Drosophila melanogaster: one gene and its partners. The protein of the gene in region 4 interacts with the protein of the main gene of each other region in a pairwise test. Each region holds a gene or a part of one and is shown on either strand. Other genes may lie near its edges. The genes, in order: Vha68-2, CG30461, CG11562 and CG31988.

Region 1 (9,613 bases), 8.2 Mb from region 4:
CCGAGAGGGTGATGCCCGTGTAGATCGAGGCTTCTCGGGCAGCCACCGGCATATTGGAGGTATTGGCCACCAGGGCAGTCCGCTTCATAATCGATTCCATGGTGCCATTGACCTCAACCTCAAGCTGCGGAAAGTCCCGAAGAACCTCGGACATTTCGTTCCCGCGCTCACCGCAGCCCACGTAGATGATGACATCTGAGTTGGAGTATTTGGACAGGGCCTAGGGGTATAAGTTGATTGGAATGTAATCATTTGTCAACTAAACTCTTAGAAACCCTCTCACCTGTGAGATGACGGTCTTTCCACATCCAAACGCTCCTGGAATGGCAGTGGTTCCGCCCTGGACACATGGAAAGAAGGCGTCCAGGACGCGCTGGCCAGTCAAGAGTGGTGAATTGCTGGGGAGCTTATCCTCCACCGGACGACACCTCCGTACGGGCCACACCTGGAGCATGGTGTGCTTGGTGATCTCGTCGTTGAACTCCGTCTCCACGATCACCTCGTCCACGCAGTAGTTCCCGGGCGGGGCCAACCACCGGATGCGCCCCTTGGTGCGGGGCGGTAGTATCAGGCGGTGATCGTGCATCATGCTGTTTTCGAAAACAGATCCGTAGATGTCTCCGCCGGTGATCAGAGCATCGATCTTCAATTTTCCGGGTGTGAATTCGTACGCAATGTTCCTGGGCAGGGAGGGCGTATCGATGCCCTTGGGCACGTATATGGAGTTGGTTAGTTCACTGATGGACCTCAATGGTCGCTGGATACCATCGAAAATGCTGCCCATGATGCCGGGTCCCAATTCCACGGAGAGCGGCTTTCCCGTCTGGTAGACGGGATCACCCACGCTCACACCCGAAGTATCCTCGTAAACCTGAATGGTGGCCATATCACCCTCCAGTCGAATGATCTCACCAACAAGCTGGGAGTGTCCAACGCGAACCAGCTCGTACATGGCTGCGCCGGCCATCTCCTCGGCATTGACCACCGGACCGGAGACTCCGAAAATGCGACCCATCGTCGCCTCCTCCTCTTCTTCATCCGACGAATATTTGTGCGTATCAACCACCTGCTCGATCACAAAACCCGAGTCCTCATTCTTCTCCAAGGCGATGTGAGCGCTCTTGTGGGATTGGTCCGTCGAACGTCTCAAGTCCTTCAAACTGTCCTCGTCATTGACTGTATCATGGGGACTTTCCGGCTCGGCTACAGGCTTGCGTGATTGAGGGGGAGGGGGTACCGGATTGGATTTATGGTCATTACGTTGGCAAGCGCAGGTTGGACATGTGCACTTCTTAGCCGGAACCGTTGGGTGAGGCACGGACCTTGGCTCCCCATCTTGGTTTAACGATCCCGAGTTGCGGGCTCTGTCTTCGTTACTTGCGTTACTGTTGGTGAACGAGGTAAGCGGTGCAACCCAGGACTTCTTTTCCATTTGGTTTAAATATATACAATTTTTTCACTTGGTACAATTTTTACTAATATTGTCAAATAAATAAAATAAATGGGGCAGAAGTTTATGGAAAGACTAAGGTGATGACTGAGAATGATATAGGATTTTAGATTATGCTTTTCAATATATTCCCATTTTCTTAGCTTTCATATAGTCAAGTATGTTTATATAATGAAGGTTTAAAATTCAAAAAAATATTTTAACTTATTATCTTTTTATCGAGTTGACACATTTTTAATATCCATTCTGCTGCCAGTGAAATTCACTTTCAATTACATTAAATGTATTTGTTGTTGCACTTTATTCGTACATTTAATATTTCATACTTTAAATATTTACATAAATTTAACAAACAAACAGGGAGAAAACATGACTTTTTTCACAAATAAACAAGAATTTCCATTCATTAAACAATAATACTATTTATGCATGCATTTGTATTTGTGTCTTTTATGTATGTGTTGTGTGTGCGCCAGTGTCCGTGTACTTTTATTCAAGTGTATGTTGGTGTTGTTGTTGTAAATGGAAGTACATAGCAGGACGTTGTAGTTGCTGTTGCCTAGAGTTGCCCTTCAAGGGGCGGAGGGGGCGTGGTTAGGGGAAAGTATTAACCGCAGGCCGGAATGTTTACATCTCTCGCAGGCACCAAGAAGTTGTGGTATTTGTTGGACTTTTGTTTTTCATCGAATGCAGCACGGAATTGTTGGTGTTTGATTAGGCTTTTTCGGATGGTTTTTGACTGCTTTCATTTTTAAACGTTAACTATATAACAAATATAAGATTAGAGTGTAAAAGTAGGGCCAGCGCGGTCTCTAGTCCTCCAGATTTCTGAAGGCCTGCTGCAGGTCCTCGTGCAGCTGCTCGAAGTCAGCCTTGATCTTGGCCTCACCATCCTTAACGGGGTCCTGAAATGGATTGAAAAATGTGGTCACCCAGTGTCTAGGCAATGGATAAATTTGCGTGTTAACCCACCTTGAACTTCATGGATGACAGCTGGTACATAATGTTGCCCATTGCCTCACGAATCACGTTCCAGGTGATCTTGTTCTCAGACTGAGCCGTAGACTCCACGGAGTGACGGGCCATGTCGTAGAAGTCGATGATGTTCCTCAACATGCCCACGGTCTTGTAGAAGGGGCAGAAGCGATCGTACGAGGAGTAGGAGTTCTGCTGCAGGAAATCGTCCTTCAGCAGCTTGGCCACCTCCAGCGTGATCTTGTCGGTTTCGGCCAGAGAGGCCTTGCCGACCAGTTGCACGATCTCAGACAGATCCTCCTCCTCCTGCAGGATCTCCTTGACCTTGGTACGCAGCGGCACGAATTCGGGGAAGTTCTTGTCATAGAAGTCATCCAGAGCACGCATGTACTTCGAGTAGGAGATGAGCCAGTTGATCGAGGGGAAGTGCTTGCGCTGGGCCAACTTCTTGTCGAGACCCCAGAACACCTGCACGATACCCAGAGTGGCGGAGGTCACGGGATCGGAGAAGTCACCACCAGGAGGAGACACAGCTCCGACAATGGACACGGATCCCTCGCGCTCGGGGTTACCCAAGCACTTAACGCGACCGGCACGCTCGTAGAAGGAGGCCAGACGGGCTCCCAAGTAGGCTGGGTAGCCGGAATCGGCAGGCATCTCAGCGAGACGACCAGAAATTTCACGAAGAGCCTCAGCCCAACGGGAGGTGGAATCAGCCATCATGGACACGTTGTAACCCATATCACGGAAGTATTCGGACAAGGTGATACCAGTGTAGATGGAGGCCTCACGAGCAGCCACAGGCATGTTGGAGGTGTTGGCCACAAGGGCGGTACGCTTCATGATGGACTCGGTGACACCGTCGATCTCCACGGACAGCTCGGGGAAGTCACGCAGTACCTCAGACATCTCGTTACCACGCTCACCGCAACCGACGTAGATGATGACATCGGAGTTGGAGTACTTGGACAGAGCCTGCAAGCAAGTAAATGATTTATTAGGGATTGTATTTTTATGAAACTTGAGTGTATGGAGGCTACACGAGGCATCGCTCCTTAAATTCTCAATTTGTGGGACTCTCACCTGCGAGATCACAGTCTTGCCGCAACCGAAAGCTCCGGGAATGGCGGTGGTACCGCCCTGGACACAGGGGAAGAGCGAGTCGAGCACACGCTGTCCGGTGAGCAGGGGGTGGTTGGCGGGCAGCTTCTCGGTCACGGGACGTGGCTGACGCACTGGCCACACCTGCAACATGGTGTGCTTGGTGATCTCTCCATCGAACTCGGTCTCCAGGACGACATCGTCGACCTTGTAGTTGCCGGAGGGGGCGATGTAGCGCACTGTTCCCTTGGCGCGGGGGTTCACAATCATCTTGTGCTTGACCAGAGTGTTCTCATGCACCAGACCGTACAGGTCACCTCCGGTGATGTGGGAGCCGACCTTGACGTTCAGGGGGTTGAACTCCCAGCTGGCCACGCGGGACAAACTGGGCACGTTCACACCCTTGGGGATGTAGATGGATTCGGTCAGCTCGTTAATGTCCTTCAGGGGACGCTGGATACCGTCAAAGATGCTGCCCATGATACCGGGTCCCAGCTCCACGGAAAGAGGCTTGCCGGTACGCAGCACCGGATCTCCGACAGTTACGCCAGAGGTCTCCTCGTACACCTGGATGGTGGCCATGTCACCCTCCAGACGGATGATCTCGCCCACCAGCTCGTAGTAGCCGACGCGGACCAACTCGTACATAGCTGATCCAGACATGGCCTCGGCGGTGACGACTGGAATGAAGCGGTTGGTCGGGTTAGGGGGGCTACATTTCATTCAAGAAGTTTTTATAACTCAGCAAACGAAGATAGGTTCCATTGAACATTTTCTTTTAAAATTTTTTATTATTAATGATACTTGATGATGTTTTTGTTAGAATTATAGAAAAAAGTTTAAAGAAACAATTAATTAATTATTAAAATTATTCACATTTAATTTTGAATAATGAAACCAAAATGTTTGAGTTGTTTGAATATTAATCACAAATAGGTGGACACATTTCTAAAGTTGCCATTATTTCACACAGAAGTGTAAGTTCTAGACTAATCATCAAAGTAAGGTTTCCAGTTCACAGGTATTATTAACTTATTTTTATTAACTTTTAGATAGCATGAGTTATGGTTAGTCAGTATAGTTAGGTGCTTACCAGGACCGGAGACAGCGAAGACACGTCCATATTTGGACTCACGCTCCTCATCATCGAAACGCTTAAGGTTGGACATTTTGCTTTATTCTGTTTTTTCGACTGCAATGGAGGGAAAATAGAAGAGGAAAATTGTTAAATGCTGGCTGCAAAAGGGCGAAGATAAAGGTGAACATTTTCTTATCACTAATTTCTTGCTCAGCCCTCTGTCAGCTGACAAGGGGCAGGTGTATCTGCTACATTTACAGGTTAAGTTTTTGTAGAGCCCACAGCTCCCAAATTTTTCGATTATAGGTTATAAAGTTGTAGGTTAGCAGCTAATAATTTCGATTGATTTAATTATTTTTTTTTTAACTCCCCCTCTTTGATTATGCTGCGTAAAACTTTAAAAGCAGAGCTTTCGTTTCACGTGACAGAGCTTTGAAAGTTCGAAGAGAGCAATTTGTCAAACTAATCGCTAAATAAATAAAATAAGAGCTGTGAAAAAACAACCACAGGTTGACAAATTCAACGGAGGAATGTAACTGAAATGCATGTTTTTCAAAATATGCGGGTTTTCATAATTATCAGCAAAGAAAAACAAGAGAGGGTGGAGTGGGAGAGCAACTCTCCGCTCTGGCTCTCTCGCTCTCCATTCGAGTTCGAATATTTGACAATTGCTTTTGACGTTGATCACAAGACTACTGTCATTGCCGTCAGCTGACAAATGAAAAAAAAGTGGGTAAGGGAAATGGTAAAAATCTTTGGGCCGCCTTTTTTACGTCGCTCGTTCTCCATATTGGTTTTTCATTATCGGAATACGAATAACTCCCACTTCTGTTTCGAGTTTCGAAATGGGAGAGCAAGCGAGCGCAAGAGCGGCGGCGATCACAAGACCCGCGGTGCGACAGGGATGGAGCGAACACGGGGAAGGGGGTCAGCTGACAAGGCAAAATAATTTTCCACGCGCAAATTTTCACGTTTTCATACCGCACTTTTTCAAGCTCCTTGGAAAACTAATTGATATTCGGCTTTTTTAGGGATTATTTTACTCAAGTGTGGACTTGTGCTGCACTTATTATCTAACACACTTGCAGTCTGTGTGCGTGTTTTCGCTCTGCGCTTTGATCGCTGCTTCGTCACTTTTTCGGGGCGAATTCAAGACGGATTTCAATGCCGCTTTCTTTCGCTAATTGTTTAAATCGCCCAGAACCGTCTTCCAGCCATTCCATTATTTATTGTTACTTATTTGCTTTGGGTGGGTGTGTGTGTTGGTGGGGGGGAAGGGCTTACTTTGCTGTGTCTTCGCGTTCACCTTGCGAACGTGTGATTGCTGCTTTTCTCCAACAGAACGAACTAAAACCGACTGAGCCGCAGAAATAAAACGTCGACGCTCGCACTTCGAAAAGCTCTCTACCGCGATTCGATTTCGATTTCGACCCGTGTGATCGCGAGCTTTCCGCGGCGAGCTTGCAAGCGAAGTTGTGAGCTGATATCGAGTGCGAGCGAAGCTTTCGCCAATCGATGTGCGGAAGCGAGATGGAGCGAAAGAGAGCTAAAGAGCGGGTGGGGTCACACTGGCTTAAAGAAGTTCGTGGGTTGATTCTGAAGTTTTGGGAGTAAACGGGATCTTTTCAAAGTTGCTAATATCCAATTATTTTAAGTCCATTTTAAGTCCTCGATGATCAATCGGTCCAAATTAAACAATCATTTTCTTAGCTGCTTATAAAATCAATAATTAATTTGACACTGTATAAACGAGGAATATATAGCTTAAATACAAAACCTGCCATTGTATAGTGTTAAGTGCTCTCAATAAAAATGGCAATCAATTAGATTCCCATTTAAATGTCCAAAAAATGCAATTTTAAACTAATCAATTGTGGAAATTGGCCGGTGCGAGGGTAGACTAATAAGTTCACTAAAGCGCAACAACACGCCGTTAGCAATTATTTTAAAATGTTTATTTATCGTCGTTTCCCCTTTTTTTTTTATTACCATTTTAAGTAAAAAAAAGAAACTGACAGCGGTGGCAAAAACTTTGATTAAAATCCGCATCGTAAAAAGGTATTTGCCAATGATTTAAGTTTTTGCTGCCCTGCCCCTTTGTTTTTTATCCATTATTCTATCTTCCGTTCTTCTAGTTAGGATTCCACGCTTTCCCCACTTTTTTTTTGTGCTGTAGTAATCAATGAGAATGGAGCAGCGAAAAAGTTAAGATTAACCCGATCAGATTGTTTTTATGCTCTTGCGAATATACTTTTTTAACATAAAATAAATAGCACAATATGCAGCGATTATCAGATTTCTTTAAGTGGATTCTCCTTATTTAAAGAGGAAAACGAATGTGCTAATTGAAAATATTGAGAAATTCGCATAACCAAACTATATGTTTATAAGAAGTTTAATGTTTATATAACTTAACCATTTAATTTGTTTTTTATTATATTATTATCTTAGATATTTTACATGTGAGTGTAACAACATAATTGTACTTCTTTTAAATCATAATATGGCTAGAAAACCTCATTTAAATATTTTAGTTCTTGAGTCCATGCTAGTTTTTTTTTCAGTGTCGCTGCACTCAGCTTGATTTAGCTAAATTTTCGGATTGCAGTCAGCAAAAGTGGCAACTACAACGCAAAGCCATGCTAACATAGAAGTCGAACAGCGAAAGCCTCTATGTTCCCGAGATGCGAAGGATACGAAGGACACGCCAGGGGCAGAGGGTAGGTGTGTGAGTTCTGGCTCCCGCTCTTTGCATAACTTATAAATCGATGACGTTGGCAGGCAGCGAGAGCGCATCTCGAGTCGCAGCATTTGCATAATAAGGCAGCAGTGCATGTGGCATGAGGATCTGCCTGCGATTCATTGCAAATTTCTATCAGCCCTGTGAACGGGGATTCCCCTCACTGCAGATGTATGCGTATGTGTGTGAGAGTGTGTGTGTGTGAGTGATTGAGTGACTGAGTGTTTCGGATTCTGATTCGGTGTCAAAATGGCGCAGAAAAGTGCTCGACTGACTCTGCTGAGTGCAGAGCGCCAAAGTGGAATGAATTTGACACATCGAAACTGGGATATGCACCCTTATCCACTCGATTCCTGGGCCACTTTCCAGTGTTTTTCATAGTATGTCAGTGTCCTGGATAAAATCTTTGTCGTGTTTATCACAAATATGTATGCATTGAAATCAGCATTTTTGGCAACATTTTAGTGTGAAAAACTTCTAAGATGTATTCTTGTAGCATCGAAAACTTCGATTGTTAGACCATTTCATTAAACAGAAATGCAATTCTATTTCCAAAAAGCCATATACATATATTCGAAAACTATTGGTTCAGTTAGGCATTAAATGAAATTATCATAATTTAGCGTTCTACTGGCTTCCGTTCGCTGATTTTGATTCATTTTTGAGCTTCAGGCTGTACTAACTTTTGCTCACAAATCTGCATATCATATGTATGTATATATATATTTGTAATAACTTTATGCTCGCTGAGAGATATTTCGACTGCTATCTGCTTGTTTGGCTCGACCTCCATATAGATACATATATGGATAACTGTATACATTAAGTCATAACTTCATTTGGCGGCCATGGGCATTCATTTAGTTTATGTCTGTGCAACTCGGGCGGTACGCGAGTCCCCCTTCACATCGCCGCCCATCTCGATAAATTCATTTGGGTCTTGTTAGGAAGGCTCGGAACCGCCAGCACCGCCAGCAGCCATTGGCCATTGGCTAATCTTGTTGCGCATTGCCATAATTTTCAATTTACATGCACCCAGTGAGACCGACCACCCCCCTCCCAAATTGCCACCCACCTCCTCCCGCTTGGCACCAACAAACGGGAGCTATCCGGCGAGTCAGTCCGGGCGTAATATTGGTCACAATAAATTGACTGCAATGGCACTACCATGTGTGTGTGTGTGTGTGTGTGTGTGCCGAATGTGGGTGTGAGTGTGTGCACTAGAAAATATTTAATACTCAGACATTTATTTATTTAAATTTTATGGTGGAAAGTGGATAGTTGCAGTAAAAGTTTCGTTGAATGCATTATAAATACCATATGAAATTGCGCACATATTATCAGTTTAGTGATTTTCTTATCTAAAAGATAACACGAGCTGCTTATCAGCTCAATGGTACTTAAAAATATGTAGATATCATTAAAGTGAATAGTGCGGAGTGGTAATGATAGACTTGTATGTTTTGAATGCACATTTTAAATATTTGACATATACATTTTGGGTAGAATTACTATTGTATTAATCTAATGGATATTCATAGGTATCTAATAGATCTCAATTTGTTTAATAAGTACTTCCCATTTTTACCAGTGCACTGAGTATCGTGGCAGCCGTTGTCCTTCGCGTCCATTCGCTTGATTATGGCCTTCTGTTACCGCACCTCGTCCCTCGGCGATCGTACCCCTTACTCCCCTCACCATGCCCCATTTCACTGCAGTTGCATTAGGCGTTGAGGTCTCCTTTTCCCCCGTCCCCCTCCCCACTCACTCCCTACTAACGTGGAGTGCAACATTTCGATTTGCGCCATCATCGTGGCCATCGTGTCCTTTGTCCCGGCGTGCCTAATCATTGACACATTCATTGATGCATCCGAGCGCATTCTGGCATATTTACGAGCTGTCCTAATTGTCCCCAAGCAGATGCATCGCCCCCAGCACGCCCTGTTTTCAGGCCCAAAGGGTGCCAGCTCATTTGGCCTTTGGGATCTAATGGTCGAACTACTGCCTTTCGCTGGCCTTCATATGTGCGCATAAATATTTCAATTATAAGCTAGCATGACATAACCCAACGCGCTTGGCTAGAATTTGTTATATAATTAAATAATAAGCAATGCAACTACTTTTTAAATCAAACAATTCAATTTCTAAAGTCTATTGTACATTTTAAAGATTTTCTGATTTAAGGTATTTTAGGCGGCTTTTTCTATTTTTGGCTGTAATATTATACTTTATTAAGTAAACCAAATTACTTTTAGTTCAGCCTTGTTGG
Region 2 (8,279 bases), on a different chromosome or scaffold from region 4:
ATATATTTAAACGGCCGCATGACGGTCACACTAACAATTCGTCACTGGCGCTTGTAAAGTAAAATTCCAGTTTTATTAGTTCTTTAATGAAATAGCATTTAAATATGTCATCATTGGACGCAGACACCGTGCTGCTGAGCATTTTGTTCCTCGTAGTCATCGAGAATGCGCTAGAGATCTATATATCGCTGCGCCAGGTAAGTTTTTCCGTTGTGCCGGCATGTTCTAGCCAGGCGACATTTGGCGAGGAATTTTATCAATGCGAATGATAAATTTAGAGTGGCAAATGTTAATTGGCCGCCTCATGTCTTGCCCCCATTAAATGATTTACCCTGCCGTCGCCACCAGGTGAAAGTGTACCAAACTGCACTGAAGGTACCGGCCGAACTGAAGTCACACATGGGCGAGGATACGTTCCATAAGGCGCGGAAATATGGTCTGGACCAGGAGAAATTCGGCATCTTCAAAGCTGTTGTTATGGATGTGGCCCTGCTTTGCATGGAGCTGTACATCGGACTGATCGCTGTGCTCTGGCAGCTGTCCGTCCAGGTGGTGGATAAACTGCAATGGGACTCCAAAAACGAGATCATCGTCAGCTGCGTTTTTGTGCTCATATCGAATGTATTGAGCACTTTCAAGGGACTGCCCTTCAAGATCTACAAGATATTCGTGCTGGAGGAGACGCATGGCTTTAACAAACAAACAGCGAGATTCTTCGCCTGGGATCAGCTCAAAGGCTTCCTAGTCACCCAGGTCCTCATGATTCCCATCACAGCGGCTATTATCTTCATCGTGCAACGCGGCGGCGACAACTTTTTCATATGGCTGTGGATCTTCACAGGCGTTATCTCGCTGGTTCTACTCACTTTGTATCCGATTTTCATTGCTCCCCTGTTCGACAAGTATACTCCGCTGGAGAAGGGTGCTCTGAGGCAATCGATTGAGGATCTGGCCGCATCGCTCAAGTTCCCGCTCACTAAGCTTTTCGTGGTGGAGGGATCCAAGCGCTCCTCGCACAGCAATGCCTACTTCTATGGCCTCTGGAACTCGAAGAGGATCGTGCTATTCGACACGCTGCTGCTAAACAAAGGTAAACCGGACGACTCCGAGTTGTCAGAGGAAGAAAAGGGAAAGGGTTGCACCGACGAGGAGGTGCTGGCTGTTTTGGGACACGAGCTGGGACACTGGAAACTGGGACACGTTACCAAGAACATTATTATCATGCAGGTTCATCTCTTTCTGATGTTCCTGGTCTTTGGAAATGTCTTCAAGTATCCACCATTCTACGTGGCCATGGGATTCCAACCTGGTACTCGGCCCATTCTCGTCGGTTTGCTAATCGTCTTTACCTACGTACTCGCGCCATACAATGCCCTCATGAACTTCGCCATGACAATTTTGTCGCGACGATTCGAGTATCAGGCTGATGAGTTCGCTTTCAAGTTGGGATTCGCTGAGCAGTTGGGTCAGGCCCTCATAAAACTGAACGTTGACAACCTTGGCTTCCCCGTTTACGATTGGCTGTACTCGACTTGGAACCACTCACATCCGACTCTTCTCCAGCGCCTGAATCGACTCAAGGAGCTCAAGGAAGAGAAGAAACTGAACTAAGACAGCTCACTTCACATAAGACCAAAGTTTACACTATTCCCTTTGATTTAACGTACACAAAATAAAGTAAGGGGACTTACCCCAACAAGCTATTTAAGATTTTGCAATGTGGAAACGTGTATCTTATGTGATTCCCAAAACATGTAAGCTAGTAGTTAAAAATCCGTCACCAATAGATTCAAAATGATTTCCTAACGGAGCTTCAAAATTAAGGAAATATGACTAACATGTCAAGCCGTTGTCAGAGGAACCCAACATGTCTGCACATTTCTGGGATGATCCACTAGCAATACTCTACATAATCATAGCTTTCTTGGTTCTGGACAATCTATGGGGCGTATATCTGATGCTGCGGGACGTAAGTGATGATTACATCTTTCGAGTACATTTTGGATTAAATTGCTCTTTCAGATACAAGTGGCCTACAAAACGCAACAAGTACCGAATGTTATCAGCCCCTATCTACCACAGGAGCTCTACGACAAGATGCGCGTCTACAAGATTCACAAGGGCTGGTTCACCATTGTCAACACCCTGCTTTCGGCAGTTATATTGGGTATTATGGAACTATACTTCGGCTTCTATGCCTGGCTGTATGGAGTGGCTGGAAAGTGCGCCTTGTCCAAGTGGATGGAGCATGAGGCTTGCGTATCCGTGATCTTTGTGCTTCTCCTGAGCGTGTATTTTTGGCTTAAAAGCGTACCGGCCATGATCTACGAGAGCTGTTGCATCAAGAGCTTGCAACCCAGGCCAAAACCACCGTGGTGGTCCCGCATCTGTCACTTTGTCGTTGACCTGGTTGTGGGAGCGATGATTACCACCTTGGTGGTGGTCGCCCTCGTGTACATGTTTATCGGCTTGGGGCCATATGCTCCCCTGGGCTTGTACCTTCAATCGCTGATCCTGACAATGATCGTACTCCTCTTGATTCCATTTATGATCCATCCATTTGTGGGCCAAAGTGTACCCCTGGAAAACTCAAACTTGCGCACCCAACTGGAGTACCTTACGCGACAAGTCGGCTTTCCCATGAGTCAGGTGCGCATCATCCGGGTGCATGACCCTAACACGGGAAGTAATGCCTTTTTCTACGGATGCTGCTGCCTGAAAAGAATTGTGATCTTCGATACATTGCTGCTCAATAGAGGCAAGTCAGATCTCTCCCACCTGACGGCAGAGGAGCTGGGTAGGGGACTTGCGGATCCTCAGGTGGTTGCTGTGGTGGCCCACGAACTGGGTCACTGGAGGAATGGACATTTTTACAAAGCTATCATGGCGTTCCAAGTCCATCTCATACTGACGATCCTGCTGTTCGCGTTTCTGTTTTCTCATGGGCCCATTTACCAGGCGGTGGGATTCCCTCCCGGTCTCCAGCCGACAGTCATTGGATGCTTAATAATCTTCGGCTTTGTACTGACTCCATACATGACACTGGCGAACTTCAGTATGCTTAGCATGACGCGTTGCTTTGAGTACCAGGCGGATAGGTTTGCCTACCAGCTCGGATATGGAGGAGAACTTCGACAAGCACTGCTCAAACTATATGCGGATAATCTGGCATTCCCCGTTTCGGATCCTTGCTACTCCAGCTGGAATCATACGCATCCCACCATGCTGGATCGGTTGAGTCGTCTGGAAGAATTTCGACGATAGGCGATATATTTTTTATCGGTGTTTCTCAAACATAGTAGCTTCTGATTGAGTTATCCGTCTTGGGTAATATAGATATATACAATATTTTACAATAAGTAAACATTGTTTGTTGGGGGAACATGATAAGTTTTGATGGCATTCTACGATACTTGGCCGAAAGTAGATCCAATCATAGTGCTGGTGGTGTTATGTCTGATCGTGTTAGTTGACCGGATATGGGAGATGATACTCACCAAGAGGCAGGTAAGTAGTGGATTGGTTGTTCCACCCATGAAGAACTGATCGCGGATTTCTTTCACCAGCAATTGGTGTGCCTGAATGCGATTATGGTGCCGGAGGAGCTGAGAGGAATCATTCCGCCGGAGATTTACCATCGGGCCCGCATCTACGAGCTGCATAAAACGGAGCTACAGATATGGAAGTACCTCATCGACTTGATTATTACGCTCTGTGAGCTGATATTGGGCTTCTATCCATTCCTCTGGAGCTTGTCTGCGAAGACTCTACAGAAAATAACCTCCCAAGAGATCTGGATAACCTTGATCTTTGTTTTCTACCTGACCATTTACATTTGTATAAGGTTCCTGCCGGTTCTGATCTATGACAAGTGCCTGCTGGAGTTGCGATATGGGATGTCGGGCAAGTTTCCTTGGTACCTCTACTGCTGCATTGGAGCAATGTCCATTCTCCTAAGCCAGCTCGTCCTGTTCCCGTTGGCGGCGGCCATTGTGTTCAGCGTAAAGTTCATTGGGTACTACTTCTTCCTTTGGTTCTGGCTGTTCTGGGCTACGTTCACCCTGTTGCTGGTATTTTTTTTGCCCTACTGCTGCATTCCGTGCATTGGACGACAGGTGGTTTTACCAGAGGGCACTGCCCTCTATATGGAGGTGAAGCGTGTTTGCGATGTGGTTGGCTTCCCCATGAAGAGGGTATTTATCATAAAGACCCGGACAATGCAGTATAGTAATGCCTACTTTTACGGGAGCTGCTGCCTGAAAAGAATTGTAATTTTTGATACCTTGCTATTGAACAAGGGCAAGGAACCCAATGAGATCCATCCCTATGAGGTGGGCAGAGGTCTGACCAACATCCAGGTGGCGGGAGTGGTGTGCCATGAGTTGGGTCACTGGAAGCACGGACATTTCTACAAGGCTACGATCATCATGAAGATTCACTTCTTTATCACCATGGGACTCTTCGGATTGTTCTTTCACTCTCCCCAGCTATACATGGCAGTGGGTTTCGAGCCTGGCGTTATGCCCATCATAGTGGGTTTCATCATTGTTCTGAAATTTGCCCTTACTCCTTATCTCACGTTGGCCAATGTCTTGATGCTGTGGAATCTGCGTCGCTTTGAGTATGCCGCCGATAAATTTGCCCATCGCATGGGATACTCCATCCAACTGAGGATGGCGCTGGTTAAGATCTATGCGGATCATATGAGTTTTCCGGTCTACGACCAATGCTATGCTCGATGGCATCACACTCATCCCACGATTCTTCAGAGACTGGCCTATCAGCAGAAACTGGATGTGAAGGCCATGAATGCCGGAACCTATTAATCTCAGTAGTCGCCGACCTATACATTCGTTTGATTTTGTACGTTTTTCGAGATATCCTGTAAAATTGACCGTGTTACCATGACTCGAAAACAAATTGCTACGCCCCGCTGTGAAACTATCTCCAAATTGGTGGTCAGCGTCGGCAGTGGGTGAGTTTTGCAAATTCCGAAGGAGGAAACTGGGTTGAAGGATCCTTCAAGGGAATTTCTCAAGCTCTTATAGGGTCCTTCTCCTTTTTTCTTTTATGTAAAATTAAATCTTTGAGGAAGTTCTAAAGTATGCAGAAGTTAATACAGAATATATTAAAGTGCGAGATTTAAGAAGTTTCGATTCATTACATTTACATTATTAATTTCCGAATTCAGTGCTCTCCAAATAAAATCCATTAGCGAAACTTTTCTTACTTATGCAGATGCTACAACACGATCCTTCTGCGCGAATCCCTCGTGGCTGAACTTTCAAAATGGCATGATGGAAGTGGGGCCGATTAGTAAACCGAATCCCCATGATTCTCAAAAGGAGGCAACCTCGTTTCTGGAGCGACATTTCGGAAGCAAGCGTCTGGACTCCGAGCAAATGAACGCGGAATTTAAGAACAGGAAGACGATTATCTGGCACACTTGGCTGGTGGAGAAGGTGCGGTTTCCTCCAGCTCAGTGTGCGGTCATCAAGGAATGGAAGGATCCCATCACGGAGACTCTGGGCATTTGCTATTGTTCCTGGCACTTGCAGAGCTGCATGGCCTGGCAGCTTATTCTCAGTAATCGAATGACGGATGCCAAGTGGTAACTACCTTGTATCTAATGTTATTAGTGGTTACCTATAAAGTTCCACCATAGCTTCTGTTCGCGAATCAAGAAAACGATGGACATTGTCAACTGTCTCGTTGACTCGGAAGTGGAACAGGAGAAAACATTTAAGGATTGTTCTTCCCCCTTAGCCGTGTTAACCGAGAAAGTGCTTGATGCCACTGATATGCTGAAGAAACTGAATGATCTTCTAGAGCTCCAGGAGAAACTCAATCGGAAATACAAACGCCTGTGTGTATAGAAAAAAAAATAAGGAAATCAAAAGACTACTTTTGGAGTGCTGACCCCTTGATGTCTGCATAGATTGTATTGTATTTATTTTATTAAAACATTTCTGCTGTATTTCCATAGTGTTAGACATATATCCATTTAGATATTCGATATTTGGTATCTTGTTTCATATAGAGAAAGTCCGTTTCGAAGCTTTACATGCATGTGGTTTTGAACAATATCTTAGGATTAGCATAAGTATGTTATCATATAGTGTTGTATCGTAATTAGTATATTTATATGATAAGTTGGCATTTTGTTGCATGGCATCTTTACTCAGGGTTTCATTTTTAAAGGCGATGGAATTGATCTATTTCATGACTATGGCTCTAAAAGTGAATCTTTGGGCAAAGAGCGTTTCAGGATTGGAACAATTTGTCTTGGTTTTAAAGCTTAAGTTATTAGTTGTTAGTTATTTAGTTAGTTAGGTTTCGAAAGAATACAATGATAACAGATGGAGAAGGGAATACGTATCGAAACAAGTCATAATGTATATATATAGCTATAGCACCTTGAAAGAACATTAGATAGTTCGTAGCGTTGTTGGTTAACTTTAGGTTTTTGTTTAGAGGTTAAATAACCAATTTGCCTATGTTGCGAAATTGGGTGAAAATTTTAGCCTTAAAACGGCGTCAATCTGCACCTCGTAATCTCCCCTCGGGTGAAAAAAATACAAGGACGAGTGCGTGTCCAACATTAACTGGATGCATCACCACCCTCCAGCTTGACATTGTCACGTTCAGGTGGCGGATGCATTTGCATTTGCATTTGCATTCACCTGCATTAGTGGCGTCCACCCTCGGGCTGATGTAAGTGCCTCTTGATTGATTGATTGATGCTTGCGGGGGATATTCATAGCACAAGTGCGGGGAGTTGGGCGCGGAATGCAGCCGCCCACTTTTAGGGTGTACTGTCACAATGATTAACAACAATTATCTACAGATTGTAGCCACACATATGTTTTTACTTAGGTAGTCTCAAATAAATGTGGTATCCTTAAAAATAGCTACATTTATTTCGATTTTAATTGGTAATTAAATAAAGTACGTTATGCAAATACACATAGAAAATATAAATACATATATAGTATAATATAAAATCGATGTACTGATCTTGTTGTTATCATTTCTTAATTTTTTACTTTAAGTGGCTCGATTCTGTGTTGCAAATTGTTTGACTGGATAAATTTCCGTTTTGGTTTGATTTTGGGGGAAATATATACTCTCAATATCTTAACGTACGATAAACATTTATTTAAGATTTGAACATTTATATTAGATTTATTTTATACCAATAGCTTCGTTTCGGTTTGAATCTCTCAGGATTCATCCCCGATTCCAATATCCTTTTATTTTTTTGTTTATTTGCTGCCCCTTTTAATGCAGCTCTAAAGTAAACAATTGCCTTGAAGCCCATTTTGGCCTCATTTCTGGATTTCCCGCGTTCGGGTGACAAAAATAGAGTTGGCTAAAATCTCTTTTTGGTATGTTCTCGAACATCCGGCTTACTCCTCGTCGTCGGGCGATATTTTGGCCAGTGTTAGCAGAATCATGGTCAGTTCTTTCCGGGAGATCTTTCCATGCTTGTCGGTGCCAACTCCCCGCATGATGGTCTCCTCGAAAGCGGCCAGATCCTGGGCATCATAGTCGTCCTGGCAACCACACAATATTAACATTTTATTTCATTTGTCTTTAAGAGCGACACTCACCTTCTTGACCAACTCCAAAAGGTCCTTCAAGAAGCCTTTGAGCTCCTCATTTTCAATGGTGCCGCTATTGTCCTGTAATGATATCATATTAGATTTTACATCTTTATATATATTCCTTAGTCTTTTGCTTTACTTACACGATCGTAGAGTGAGAATACTTTTTCAATATCCTCTTTGGTCAACTTTGTGGCGCCCTGTGGATATAAATTGCAATCCTCAATATAATATTATCCAACAAGTTTTGTTTATATGCATGTTCCACATAAAATAGTATTTATAAATAAGATTTAGCATACTTTTTCCTACATAAATAAAAGTGTTTGGATAACGTACAAAAGGAATAAACTAAATTTAATTACGAAGTATGCTAAATCCATAAACAAATGTGTGTAGCAAAACAGTTTTTTTTAAGATTTGCTTAGACTATCTTGAAATTTTCCAAATGGGTTACCCTTTAATATCATAGGCCTAAACTACGGGTCAAGTTGTATTGGTTGGTGCGATTTTGGTTTTGATTAGTTAAGTATAAAGGTATGAGCTCATGCAAGATACAGCTAATTATAATGAAAACATGCTCTTAGAAATGCAATGGGAAATGGGACAAATTTGTCTTAGGAAAATCCTAAGAGATTAATAAACATGCTACGTATGTATAAAAAACTTGTA
Region 3 (6,376 bases), about 21 Mb from region 4:
GAACAAAACCAGCAAGCCTTCTTAAATAATTTTTTCCATTGCTTATATAAATTAAAAAAATTGTTGATCAAATATAAATAATACCTTGAGCTTTATAGAATTTAAATGTTATTTTATTGTATTGTTTATTTATGTTTATATTATATTATTATTTGCGTAAATAATTTTCTCAATTTCTTATTTTGAATTGTAAAATTTTTCTAGTCAAATGAAAAATAAGTCCTCAGGCTTTTAAGTGCATTAATATTTAAATATTTGAAATTAATATTTAAAATGTTAGCATATTTTAAAACATTTAAATTAAGAACAGAGGTATCGAAAAACGATGCTGCCAAAAACACTAAATATCGATAACTAATCATCGATTTTATTTGCAACTCTAGATTCGAGGCTGGCAACGCCGTGCAAAATACGACCAGACGCTGCTTTTTTCGGTTTCCGAAAATAATTGAAAATTATCACTAAATAAACAGGCGGCTAACATAATTGCAGTTTGACCGCGTTGCAGAGACAAGCGGGTAGATAAGTTACACATTTTGGCCACAGCAACACCACAGTAAAGCCGCCAGCATGGCCGAGTACTTGGCATCCATTTTTGGCACGGAAAAGGACAAGTAAGTCGCATGGCACATTTATTTTAACGTTGCCGGGATTAATAACTAAATGGCGTTGCATTTCCCAGGGTGAACTGTTCGTTCTACTTCAAGATCGGCGCCTGCCGCCACGGCGACCGGTGCTCTCGCATCCACAACAAACCCACTTTCTCGCAGACGGTGCTTCTCCAAAATCTATACGTGAACCCCCAAAACTCCGCCAAATCCGCGGATGGCTCCCATCTGGTGGCCAACGTCTCCGACGAGGAGATGCAAGAACACTACGACAATTTTTTCGAGGACGTGTTCGTAGAGTGCGAGGACAAGTACGGGGAAATCGAGGAGATGAACGTGTGCGACAACCTAGGCGACCATCTGGTCGGCAATGTGTACATCAAATTCCGTAACGAGGCTGATGCGGAAAAGGCGGCAAACGATTTGAACAACCGGTGGTTCGGTGGTCGACCGGTGTACTCGGAACTATCGCCGGTGACCGACTTCCGCGAGGCTTGCTGTCGGCAGTACGAGATGGGCGAATGTACCCGCTCCGGCTTCTGCAACTTCATGCACTTGAAGCCCATCTCGCGTGAGCTGCGAAGGTACCTCTACTCCCGCCGCCGTCGTGCCCGCTCCCGTTCCCGATCCCCTGGACGCCGTCGCGGCTCCCGCAGCAGGTCCCGATCCCCGGGTCGAAGAGGAGGCGGCAGAGGCGACGGTGTCGGCGGAGGAAACTACTTGAACAACGAGCGGGACAACATGCGTGGCAATGATCGCGGAAACGATCGCGATCGCCGCAAAGGTGGTGGCGGAGGAGGCGGTGGTGGTGGTGGACGGTATTAAATATTCTGGACATTTTTTCTGTACGGTGGCAATTGAGAGAGAAAGCAACGGACAAGCAGTAACGCAAAGCATCGTGTATTTTAGTCTCTGCGTTGGTTTTCCACGTTTTTATATCACTTTTGAGTAAACGAGATGGAAGGAGGAGGAGGAAAATGACGATGGGGAGTTCCACCACCTATGTACAAACCCCCCGCGAAATATTTTACCGAGCGCCCATTAGAATTGTAATTTACTATACATACATTCATAATAATAAAATTGAGTAATATTATACTGGAAGCCATAGTAAGAAATGGGTCTAATTGTCAAAAAGTCCAGGCACTCAAAATAAAAGACTCCTCACAGGTATGGATAACATCCAGAAGACACCACCCCTTGTTAGGCCTGCAGTCTTATTTCGCTTTGTAAGATTGAATCTTACCACGTTGTTTTAATTATATTTCCATGCGCAGATGGCTTCACCAACTGAAAACGATCAACAGCGTAAATGATGCTGTCAACTGTCTTAAGACGAAATCTTAAAATCTTCAAAAATGCGTACATTTGAACAACGAAATTCTTGTTTTCCCCGACTTAGTCTTAGATTTTAATAGGTGCATATTTAGGGGCATATTTGTGATCAAGCTATGTCAGTTGGCGGGCTTCCATCGTGATTAGTCGTTCCACCCTGAGGAACACCTCTGAAAGCCTCGCCTTCATTTTGCACTGCTGGCTTCTCCGCTTGAAGATTACTCTGTGCGCGATGCGTCGATGGAGGTACGGGCGTGTCAGAGGAGTTGCTAGACGCCTCCCTGGCTTTCAGTTGCTTGGTCATGTCTATTTGCTGCTGCAGCGTGTAGGTATTCTCGTGTTTGCGCCGTTGTTGCTGCTCAACGTCCCTCAGGACACCATCGTGCAGTCTCAGGCTGGAAGTTAGAGATCGGAGGCTATAACTTTATTCCGGAGTATTTGGCTTACTTACCGGTCTGCCGATTGTTTATAGTGCACATAACCTATGATCGCTGTGGAAATGGAGACCGCCAGTCCCAAAGTCACTCGCGAAGCGGTCGACATGACTGGGCACCGGTCTGCCGCTGGAGATTTCCGCCTAAAATGCCTGCACTAGGAATTTGGCTGTCGGGTTGTGTTGTTTTGAAGTCGGTTCGGGTTACGACATGACTTTAAATTTGAAAGAAAAACAACAGCACCACACAGCTGACAAGAGAGTGGCCAGTTTACGGAAGCAAAGTTTTCCCTATCCAGAGTTAGTGCGCGGGAAAATCAAATTAATTCCCTTCAAATCAGCGCAACACTTTTGGGGGTCCTAAAGCCAATTGCAGTTAGAAAATCTCAGACTATTGAAAACTTGAAGCTTTAGACGAAAATACAATTTCGAAGTGATGTATATAATAGCGATTTCCGTATCTAGTATCTACATACATATGTACTACAGAACTTCTAGCCTTTATCAATGACTTTTTATTTAGGTTTTTTATACTTTTATCTACAGCTATGACGCAGTGCCTAAAAATAAAAGCAGATGCTTATCTCTCCGCAAAGATATCTTTTTAGTTATGCCTGCATTGTTTCGACTCATCTGGTTACTCACTAAGCAACATACATCTTAATGGGTGGGGGCGATTCATTCAGGTGATTGGCCATCATTAACCCATAATGGAGCCCACACTCCCGAATCCGGAATGCGAAGCCCGGAGTCCGTCTTCCGTGGTCGGTGGTCCGGACATGCGCAGCACGCACCTGATGCGAGCGACTGGAGGAACGACACCACAAAACCGAGGCAGAGACAGAAGCAACAGCCAAGTACAATGGAAACGAGTACAAAAGGCAGGAGGCAACACGGCGTATGGGCAACAGTGCGACTCCAGTTTTCCATACGCTCAGTTGTGCCCGCGGTCAAGGGAAAATCGCAGCCGAGCACTTCCTCCGAGCGAAGCCAAAAAGAAATCAAGAAAATACTTAGCGTGCGTGTGCCGGGGACCTGGTGATTTGTTCAGAGTGTGGAAATCAAACGAAAGGCAATCAACAATTGTTTTTAAGGGCCATAAAAACCATTAAGTTATTAACATAACCGATTTATAAACAAGAGCCACGGGGATCTTCTTCCAGGGCGGTCAAGATTTTCAAGATTTTTTCAAGATATTCCTGGCCAACTTTAGGTTCCATTAATATTTATGTCGGTGACGCAAATATTGATTTAAATTTGTGCGCGCTTTGAGTTGACGAAAGCGAGGTGTTTTGACTCAAGAGCTAAAACACCTTGACGACGATTTTAATTCACTTCTTTCGCCCCACCGCAAAGCACAGACAAAAACAATACACCAATTTTTCTTTTAAAATTGAAGAAAAATTTATTTTCAGTTTATCAAGGGATAGTAGTTCTAAATGGTTTCTTTCTTTCTTTGCCTAAAAAAAAGTTTTATACTTAGCACTTTGTACTACATGAAAATTTCACAATTGTTGATTTAGATATATAATTAAATTATGCACTGTATATGGAACACTGAAATGTAGCGAATTAGAACTTGAGGAACATATTGCAAAATTTTTCTGCCCGTGTAACGTGAAGTCTCCTTTGGCTTTTCCTGTGTAGGATCTTTGAAAAATCCACAAGATGACCAAAGTTGAGCTATACAAGTCGCGCGTCTTTGTGACAATCATACACCTGTGTGCACTCGGCCAATTCGCCTATGGACTCTACTACAGCTCCTTCGAGATCCAAAGGAGCTACAAACTGAAGACGAGCCTCAATCGCCGCCTGGTTCCCGAATCGCTGCCCCAGAAAATCAAATTGCTGTCCTACTGGTCGCTGGTAAGTTAATTTACGGCGTGCCCATCGAAAGCGCCACAAAGATACAGAGATACATATGTGAGAAATTATGGGAAATTAAAAAACAAGACGGAAATGCGGCCAGCATCGGTTGTTTCAAGTGTTGAGCTCGAGACCAGAAAAATCAGCGAAGGAAAAATTATTTATATTCTAGGCCCGTATGCCGATGTTCGGGTTTATGTGTGCCATATGTTTGTTTATTTGTTTGTCTGTTCGCTGGGGATCGCCCCCTTTCCCCTTCGATTTTCTCTTACTTGCACGCTCTTTTTATCGGCCAGGCGGGGTCAACAACTGTGGAATACGGAGGAGTATCCGCCAGATACGGGAGCTGTGCTCGCCGAATTTCCTCATTCGCGCTGCACTTTTCCCTGATGGCAATGCACATTCCGTGTGGGAAAGCGTTTTTCGGCATTTTCTCGCCCCAAGTGTTTATTTGCTCAGATGTTCGCGGTTTTCCAGATTTTTGATTCCACTTCTTGACGAATGCGAGATTATCTGATGGGCGCCAATGTAAATGTGCCATACGTGGCAGTTGGCTTCGATTTGGTATTCTGCTATTCGGTGCTTCTGACGCCTCATTTACATATCGTTAAATTGTTAGAAAATCGATGGATTATTGCATTTTTCTCGCAGCTCCTTGGCAACTGGCACAAGCGAATGTTTCATTGTTGAATTGGTGAACGAATTTCATTTCGAATGGGTAAATAAATATGTCTTGAATTTCGGCCCACAGAAAAAAAAAGAAAAAATGTATTAAATAAGGAAATTAACGTCACTTAAGAGAAATTGTACTTGTAATTGAAGAAAAATGTATGCTGCCACAAATCTGGTTTTAAAATGGGCTATAAAATACATACATATATATAACGAGTCCACTTCTGATGTTATCTCCATACATTTTTCTCAACTTGACAATATTTCTGCTCAATCTCTTTAAGATATGACCCAGAAATGAAGATATTTTTGCATTAATTGCATTTATTCAAGAGAAGGAATTGTGCTCTTTTTTGATACGATGCTTTTACATATGTACATATTTCCACACCACGGCTTTCCATTTCCGTGCGTCTTTCCAGGAACATCTTAGTTTGTTATTGCATGACCTTGCTCGCCCTTGATTAACGCCGTCTGTCCCGCAAAAAGTACTTTGATCTGGTCAGCATAAAGTGCTTTATATCTACAGATCTTTTTCTTTTATGTAGTCCCTTGAAACGATCACGAGAACTTTTCGGTGCCACTACCATCCGGTTCATTATTTTCGTTGTCGAATTTTTACCTTTCTTCTGGTCTTCTGGGCATCTTAAAAATCTGGTGTGCTGAAATTGTTTATATCGGCGCAATCAAAATACAAATAAACTAACTATGTTCTGACAAACAATTGCATTGTTGAAGCAAACGTGAAATTATCTGTGTACGCTTTTTGCCAAATTCTCTTCGATTCGAAACAATTTATTAGTAAAATATATTTAAAGAAAAGATTTAGGTTTCGATCCACTAATAGGATTAGCTGTGTTTAGAATAAAAAAAAAATATATATATATAAGCAAAATCTTTGTGGAGAATATAAAGCATGAATTCCATGCTTTTCCAAATGTCATTTACAAACACAATATACATATACAAACTCCATTTATATTTTTATAAACATTGAAAAGTAACTATAAGTAACATAAGAACATGTTCCCAAAAATGATAGGGTATGAGTTGTCCCCATCAGCCTGATTTCCCTTACATCTGCTGTCCATCACCCCTGTGTTTATTTGCTCTCGTTGGTTCCAATTCTGATTGTTATCCGCCCCCAAATAAGAGGCAACATCATCGAATGGAATTCTCCGAACGTTTCAGATTTAGTTTAGAGTTCACTGAGTTTCCACGATGGGTTTGCATTGGCAATGGCTGATCTGGGCATTGGTGGGGCTCCATGTGGCACTGGCCACCAAGTGGTATGGCGGTGGAATGGACTTCAATGATCCCACCGCCTGGCTAGATGACCACTTGCCTTGTGCACAGGATTTGGTCGTTTTTCCAGAGTACTACCCAGCTCTGCTGCCCTTGCCCGAGGACATATCCATTGATGGCTTGGTTTTCCCCAGAGAAGGGGCGATCCTTTTGGCAG
Region 4 (7,006 bases):
CAGAGCTATGCTATATTTAAAGGCGTGCGAGATTCAGAGATCCCAAGAGAGCGACCCATGCAGTTTGTTTTGCTCTGTGCATTCTAAACAACTTTAATTGTGTTGAGAGGAACCGAGAAAAGTAGCGGTGCCCACTACACTTTGTCCACGTCTTGCCAACATCTTTAAAATTCTCCCTCGCTCTCCGAAAAGACGCATAACGGATATCTAACAGTTGAGGAACCTGGCGTTTTCTCCTGAATATGTAACCGAAGATATGGAGAAACACATTGCGAACCCTCTTTTTATATGTTATAAGATACTACTCTTTATACCTCGGTAAATAATTGTGTATAAATGATTTCAATTATCAATGAACTCAAATCCCATTTGGCCAACTGACTTTTAATGGGGCTGCGGTCCTGGCCCAAATCAAAGTTCAATGCGCCGTGTGTCTCGTACATGTATCCTGTGTCCTGTATGTTCCCCGGATGCATAATTAAATCGTCGCGTAATTGATTGCAACTCCGTTTCTGTCATCTGACCTGCTCCTCCTCTTGTTACGGTTTGAACGTTACAATTATACATACGTTTCCTATTTTGATTTAAATTCAAACAAACATACATTAGCCATGTTCCACGGGAACTCAAAGTTGTGAGCTTTAAGACAAACTATACGTCCTGAAACCAATGCTATATAGTTGTCTCACTTAAATATGTACATATGTATGTACGTATCGCTGCATCAGAAAACTTTTTAAGTCTATTTGTGGTAAAAAAAAATATATTTGAGTTTTAATTGAAGGCAATTTTTGTAAATATTCCTACGTTCCTGTGGGTGCGCTAATTTTGTACATCAATGACAGTTCTTGGTCATCGGCGGTCAGCACCGACATATGTCCGCTGATAAATATGTATGTACCTATGTACCTAAGTATCAAATGTACATATGTACATAAATTCATATGCAAGAGACGTCGCTGTTTCGAATCCTTCTTGGGAAAACCAAAATAAGTTGCATAACAAACAGGAATGACATACATACAACAAGTAATCGTACCTATGTAACATGAGTACCAACACGCCCAACCATTGCACGGTATGCTGATATAACGGCTTTCGGAGGAAGCAAGTAAGCGTGCCCAACAAAAAACAAGAGAGAATTTAATAGTCGAGTTCCCCATTACCCGTTTCTCAGCCAGTGTGAATGCGAACGCAAAATTTAATCATTTTTCTGGGATATCGATAGATATTGGAGAATAATATGAGGAAAAAAAATGGCAAAAGTGTAGGCGTGACCGGTTTGCCGGCTTTAAGGGGTTAGAGTGGGCGTGGAAAAAATATGGTTTGCAAATCGATAGAAATTTAAGCAACTAATACAATTGTGTATAAATGAATCTCATCCTTCTAGCTTTTATAGTTCCTGAGATCTCGACGCTCATATGGACAGACGGACATGACCAGATCGACTAGGTTATAGATCCTTATCAAAAGATACATACATACATATGTACTTTAACGCTTCCTTCTGCCTGTTACATACTTTTCTACGAATCTAGTAAACAAGAGAGAACGCTATACTCGATTTCCTCTTCTATCTGATTCCCTGCTAGAGTATTATTGCTCCCAAGATCTCAACGTTCAATCGGTCATAAAGACGGCGGTGTCCAGATCGATTCGTCTAGTGATCCTTATTACAAGTGTCGTTTCATAAATTATTTGTGCTTTAACACAATCCAAGGAACTGCCAAAATTATGCAGCTAATTTAAAAGCTATAACCGGAGTTGCCCAAATTACCCATTAACTCACGTATTGTTTATCTCCACAAAAGCAACATATTCTAGTCACAAAATCTTCTGACTACTAACGGCATTATGAACTAGGTGCCATTTTTGTGGATTTTTTCGGCTCATTCCTCTTTTGGCCTAATCTAATCTTGCGACTAATTAAATGTACTCACACGAATAAAACCACCCGAGTGCAGTTGAGAAACCCAAATAAATTATTGTGGGTCATGCAAGAGCGTTTGCAATTACGAGTTGGCTTGAAGGACATATTTATGTGGCCCCAAAGGAGCAACTCTTTGAACTTGTCCCACAAACGTGCCAAAATATAATGTTGCGCCACTCTGCGCAATTAGAAAGTGCGCGAACTGGATGCAATTATCGGTTAAACATGGGAAATTCTTAGTAGTACTCAATATAAATAATTACGAGCAGCTCAACCTATATTCGGGGCTGGGAATTTGGATCTGTATTTGGATGAGGATGTGGATGGCATACGAGCACTCTTTGGCATACGCAGACAGACGCCTGACACAAATTCCCATCCGACTTACACAACTAGCTCGCCCGTCCGACTGGTGCTGCAATTTCAAATTCCATGCACCGCATCAAAGCGCAAACCAAATTGTGACATGTCCTCCGCCGATGACTCCCGAGCGCCACCAGGAGCTCCACACCCCCACCCCCGTTGCGTAGCGACCGCACACATTGCTGTGCTCCACCGAGTGGCCTTCAATAGGGAACAAAAGATGTTCCACAGGCACACGAAAAAACTTATACTTAAGTTATACAATAGTTCAGGGTTTGTGGGTAATTACTCCACGATATATTATTCAATAATTCTCTAAATCATTTTGAATAAGTTAATACAGACCTACTCAGCTCACACTTTTAAAAAAACTCATACAGAAACACGAAAGTAGCTAAGACTGTATAGAATACTTTCAATTTTATTACACAAGTTACTCGTAGAGTAAAAGGGTATACTAGACTCGTTGAAAAGTATGTAACAGGCAGAAGGAAGCGTTTCCAACCTTACAAAGTATATATATTCTTGATCAAAATCAATAGTGGAGTCGATGTAGCCATGTCCGTCTGTACGTATGAACGTCGAGATCTCAGGAACTATAAATGATAGAAGGATGAGATTCAGCACACAGATTTAAGAGACAAGTTTTTGGCCCATGTTGCCACGCCCATTCTAACGCCTACATACCGCACAAAACTGTCACTCCCACACTTTTGAAAAACGTGTTGATATTTTTTCATTTTTTATATTTTTATTTTCTATCAATTTGCATAAAAACTTTTTGCCACGCCCACATTTTTGAGAAACCTTTCGATATAATATTTTCATATTTCGACTTGCCAAACAACTTGTTTCTCTTGTTTTTTTAATAATTGGATGTTTTAGTAATATTTCTTTCAGCGAATTCATTTTTTCGAAGTGCATGATCCACGATGAAAGAGGCAACGACGACCCTTCTGGCGAGTCGTTTGGGTGGATGAGTCCTTTAAAGGAGTAGCCACCACCCCAGCCCTTGTTAATTGCCGGCTATGCGGAAGTTTCGCAGGATTTTTGCTTTAATTAAATTTTGTATAATAAATTGGGAAACATTCTAGCAGCGCCTTCAAGGAAATGCCGCCCCTTTGCTTGGAGAAATCACCCTTGAAAGTGGAAGACCTCCCTTATTATTATCCTTTTACCCATTTATTAATGGTTTTTGGTGTGACTAATTCTTATACTCGAATATGTATAAGTGACTAAAGTATGTTTATAACTTTCGGTAAGGAGATAAAATTATGTTAAAGAAATCACAAGCATATTGCCATCTATTTAGGCAATTAACCTTTTGATACAAATTTAAACAGTAGTCACAGTAACATAGAAAGCCTAGAAAGGAAAATCAAATACTTTACAGTCCAGTAGGCGATGCTTGTACATTTTCTAGATGTCAAAACATACCCCCAGCGTTTCCATCGAATATCTCATTCAGTTTTTGAGTCTTGCTAAATTCATACGTTTTCATTCGTTTCGTTTTCTATAGTTATTTGAATAAAAACATCAAAATTTTTCAAAAAAAAAAAAAAACAGTATCAAAATTTTGTCCAAGTCCGTATTGCTTCTTTTTGTTCTCCCATTTTGTGTGAACCATCTAGAAGAAAGTAAAGTAAAAACGGTGGCCCTGTGAAAATTGTTTTGATATATGAGAAGAGTACGATAACGAATTCAGAAAAAAACATTGCGAAAAGAAAGAGGAAGTAGTGAAACAGGCGCCAAACCCAGTAAGAAATACATCCCATCTTGAAATTAGTACAGAATTATAATTTCTCTCATTGATATTTGCGTTGCCTATCCAGCTTTCATTGTTTCTTTCAATAAATCGATAATCAATAGCAACCCTGTTTTGTACATGCGTATTAACAAACACATTTTTTTTTTGCAGTTACCAATCGAGAAGCCAAAATGACTGAGAGCATTGTGTGTCACAAGTGCCAGGAGGCCATCACCAAGCGTATGATCACCGCCCTGGGCAAGACGTGGCACCCGGAGCACTTCCTGTGCCACCACTGCGATGAGCAGATCCTGGATGCCACCTTCAATGTTCAGAGCGGAGAACCAGTGTGCAACAAGTGCTTCGTGGAGCGGTACACCTACACCTGTGCCGGCTGCAAGAAGCCGATCCTTGAAAAAACCATCTGCGCCATGGGGGAGAGCTGGCACGAAGATTGCTTTTGCTGCGGCGGTGCCTGCAAAAAGCCGCTCGCCAATCAAACGTTCTATGAGCGCGACGGCAAGCCCTATTGCAAAAAGGATTACGAGGACCTCTTTGCTGCCAGGTGCGCCAAGTGCGAGAAGCCTATAACGGACTCAGCGGTGCTCGCCATGAACGTGAAGTGGCATCGCGATTGCTTCCGGTGCAACAAGTGCGAGAATCCTATAACCTCGCAGACTTTCACCATCGACGGGGACAAGCCCGTGTGCCCCGCCTGCAATTGCTAACATCGTCCCGGATAACCATGGTGCATCCTTGCTCTTCCTCCAAATTGTTCATTTGCTTGCTTACAATAATGTTGAAATAGTTCCCGAAGCTTAGTAAGCCTAGAGGCATGCAAGAAAACAGACTTACACATTTAACACACAAACTTAATACACACACAAACACTAAATAAAAATAAAAAACAAATATGTTAAGTCTCTGTATTGGGGTAGACAGGTATACCCTAAGATTTGCCTTAGTGGTGTTGGTCACCCAAAATAACATTCTGATTACTGTGAGATAAGGTCGAGCAAGCCCTTTCCAATATGTTGCAGCCTTTCGTTAAATAACAAGCTTTTGGCAGCACTTTAAATAATGAATTATTTAATTTTAAAAACAAAAATTGAAGAGCTTTAAAAAATCTTTCCGTTAAGATCGCAGTACAACTGCCTTATCGATTCTTCTCGATATGAAGTGGTGGCCGTCTCTTGGCGTAGTCACGAATCGGTTACGCAGATGTGTAATCTAGATAAATATGGAATTAATACAAAAAAATTAAGAACAAGATAGAATTTTACATACGAGTTCCCCGACTATCAGATAACGGTTACTCAGCTGGTGTGAATGCAAAAGCGAAATTTAATAATTTTTCTGGGATATCGATAGAAAAAAATGAGTAAAAATTGTTTAAAAATGTGGGCGTTACTGTTTTGGGAGTTTTTAAGGTGAAAGGAGTGGCGTGTCCACAGTGCTTTTGGTATACATATAAAAATTGCCAAGACAAACAATAAAACGAAGAAAAATCTAAACATTTTTCAAAAGTGCGTGGCAGTTTTTGGCTTTAGGGCGTTTGAGTGGGCGTGGCAGAAAGTTTTTTTTGGCAAATCGATAGGAATTTCCAAGACTAATAAAAATATCAACAGTTTTCAAAAGTGTAGGCGTAGCAATTTAGTGCGGTTTTAGGGCGTGGCAAAAAGTTATGGAATTATGAAGAAATAATTTTCAAAATTTCTAAAATGTTAGCGTAGCAGTTATGGGCGGTTTTACGGCGTTAGAGTAGACGTGGCAAAAAGTTTTTTTGCAAATTGATAAAAAATGAAATGTAAAAAAATATCAAGACTTTTTTAAAAGTGTGGGAGTGGCCGTTTTTTGCGGCTTGTGGGCGTGGCAGCATGGGCCAACAAACTTGCGCTGCATCGTTGTCTCTAGAATTTGTATGCTGAATCTCATACGAACAGACGGGCATGGCTAGATCGACTCGGCAATTGATCCTGATCAAGAATATATATACTTTGTATGTTCGGAAACGCTTCCTTCTGCCTGTTACATACTTTTTAACGAATCTAGTATACCCTTATTATACCCGTTATTGCTTGTTGTTGTGCTCCCATTTTGTGTGAAACATCTAATAGAAAGTAAAGTAACAACGGTGGCCCTGTGACAACTGTTTTGATATATGAGAACAGTACAATTACGAACTAGGAAAAACACACTGCGAAAAGAGGAAGTAGTGAAACAGGCGACAAACCCAGTAAGAAATACACCCAATCTTAAAATAAGTACAGAATTATAATTTGTCTCATTAATATTTGCGTTGCCCAGTGTTTATCGTTCCATAGCCATCTTCCGTTGTTTCTTTCAATAAAATAATCGATAGCTGCCCTGTTTTGTACATTTTGTATTTTAACCTCAATTTACGATATATACGAGCAATTCAATCAAAAAAGAGTAATTGAACAATCCCTTGGTAATGCGCATTAAAAATCATTTTTTATTAGCAGTTACCAATCGAGAAGCCAAAATGACTGAGAGCATTGTGTGTCACAAGTGCCAGGAGGCCATCACCAAGCGTATGATCACCGCCCTGGGCAAGACGTGGCACCCGGAGCACTTCCTGTGCCACCACTGCGATGAGCAGATCCTGGATGCCACCTTCAATGTTCAGAGCGGAGAACCAGTGTGCAACAAGTGCTTCGTGGAGCGGTACACCTACACCTGTGCCGGCTGCAAGAAGCCGATCCTTGAAAAAACCATCTGCGCCATGGGGGAGAGGTGGCACGAAGCTTGCTTTTGCTGCGGCGGTGCCTGCAAGAAGCCGCTCGCCAGTCAAACGTTCTATGAGCGCGACGGCAAGCCCTATTGCAAACAGGATTACGAGAACCTCTTTGCTGCCAGGTGCGCCAAGTGCGAGAAGCCTATAACGGACTCAGCGGTGCTCGCCATGAACGTGAAGTGGCATCGCAATTGCTTCCAGTGCAACA

The links.
Region 1: the proteins of CG31988 (region 4) and Vha68-2 interact in a two-hybrid assay, tested with the Drosophila melanogaster proteins (one large-scale study listed by BioGRID).
Region 2: the proteins of CG31988 (region 4) and CG30461 interact in a two-hybrid assay, tested with the Drosophila melanogaster proteins (one large-scale study listed by BioGRID).
Region 3: the proteins of CG31988 (region 4) and CG11562 interact in a two-hybrid assay, tested with the Drosophila melanogaster proteins (one large-scale study listed by BioGRID).

The regions. Positions count from the first base shown.
Region 1 is NT_033779.5:12,970,719-12,980,331, reverse strand, and holds Vha68-2 (vacuolar H[+] ATPase 68 kDa subunit 2), read right to left. Parts: upstream 6,011-9,613; 5' UTR 5,889-6,010; intron 5,711-5,888; exon of another isoform or gene 5,586-5,710; intron 5,147-5,585; exon of another isoform or gene 5,109-5,146; intron 4,931-5,108; exon of another isoform or gene 4,863-4,930; intron 4,719-4,862; 5' UTR 4,696-4,718; coding exon 4,620-4,695; intron 4,207-4,619; coding exon 3,509-4,206; intron 3,401-3,508; coding exon 2,423-3,400; intron 2,356-2,422; coding exon 2,263-2,355; 3' UTR 1,725-2,262; downstream 1-1,724. Other genes in the region: Vha68-3 (vacuolar H[+] ATPase 68kD subunit 3), read right to left, coding at 1-220, 284-1,432. UniProt on the Drosophila melanogaster protein: Catalytic subunit of the V1 complex of vacuolar(H+)-ATPase (V-ATPase), a multisubunit enzyme composed of a peripheral complex (V1) that hydrolyzes ATP and a membrane integral complex (V0) that translocates protons.
Region 2 is NT_033778.4:16,993,688-17,001,966, reverse strand, and holds CG30461 (uncharacterized protein), read left to right. Parts: upstream 1-3,372; 5' UTR 3,373-3,396; coding exon of another isoform or gene 3,397-3,507; intron 3,508-3,566; coding exon of another isoform or gene 3,567-4,826; 5' UTR 4,827-4,904; coding exon 4,905-4,975; exon of another isoform or gene 4,976-5,147; intron 5,148-5,215; coding exon 5,216-5,611; intron 5,612-5,665; coding exon 5,666-5,876; 3' UTR 5,877-5,976; downstream 5,977-8,279. Other genes in the region: ste24a (prenyl protease type I), read left to right, coding at 105-197, 349-1,611; ste24b prenyl protease type I, read left to right, coding at 1,868-1,969, 2,023-3,264; ste24c prenyl protease type I, read left to right, coding at 3,397-3,507, 3,567-4,826; Cbp53E (calbindin 53E), read right to left, coding at 7,410-7,556, 7,614-7,685, 7,751-7,807.
Region 3 is NT_033779.5:288,679-295,054, reverse strand, and holds CG11562 (uncharacterized protein), read right to left. Parts: upstream 2,637-6,376; 5' UTR 2,487-2,636; coding exon 2,395-2,486; intron 2,339-2,394; coding exon 2,053-2,338; 3' UTR 1,833-2,052; downstream 1-1,832. Other genes in the region: U2af38 (U2 small nuclear riboprotein auxiliary factor 38), read left to right, coding at 571-614, 683-1,433; amnionless, read left to right, coding at 6,136-6,376.
Region 4 is NT_033779.5:21,199,478-21,206,483, reverse strand, and holds CG31988 (uncharacterized protein), read left to right. Parts: upstream 1-3,681; 5' UTR 3,682-4,050; intron 4,051-4,211; 5' UTR 4,212-4,231; coding exon 4,232-4,768; 3' UTR 4,769-4,991; downstream 4,992-7,006. Other genes in the region: CG31624 (uncharacterized protein), read left to right, coding at 6,547-7,006.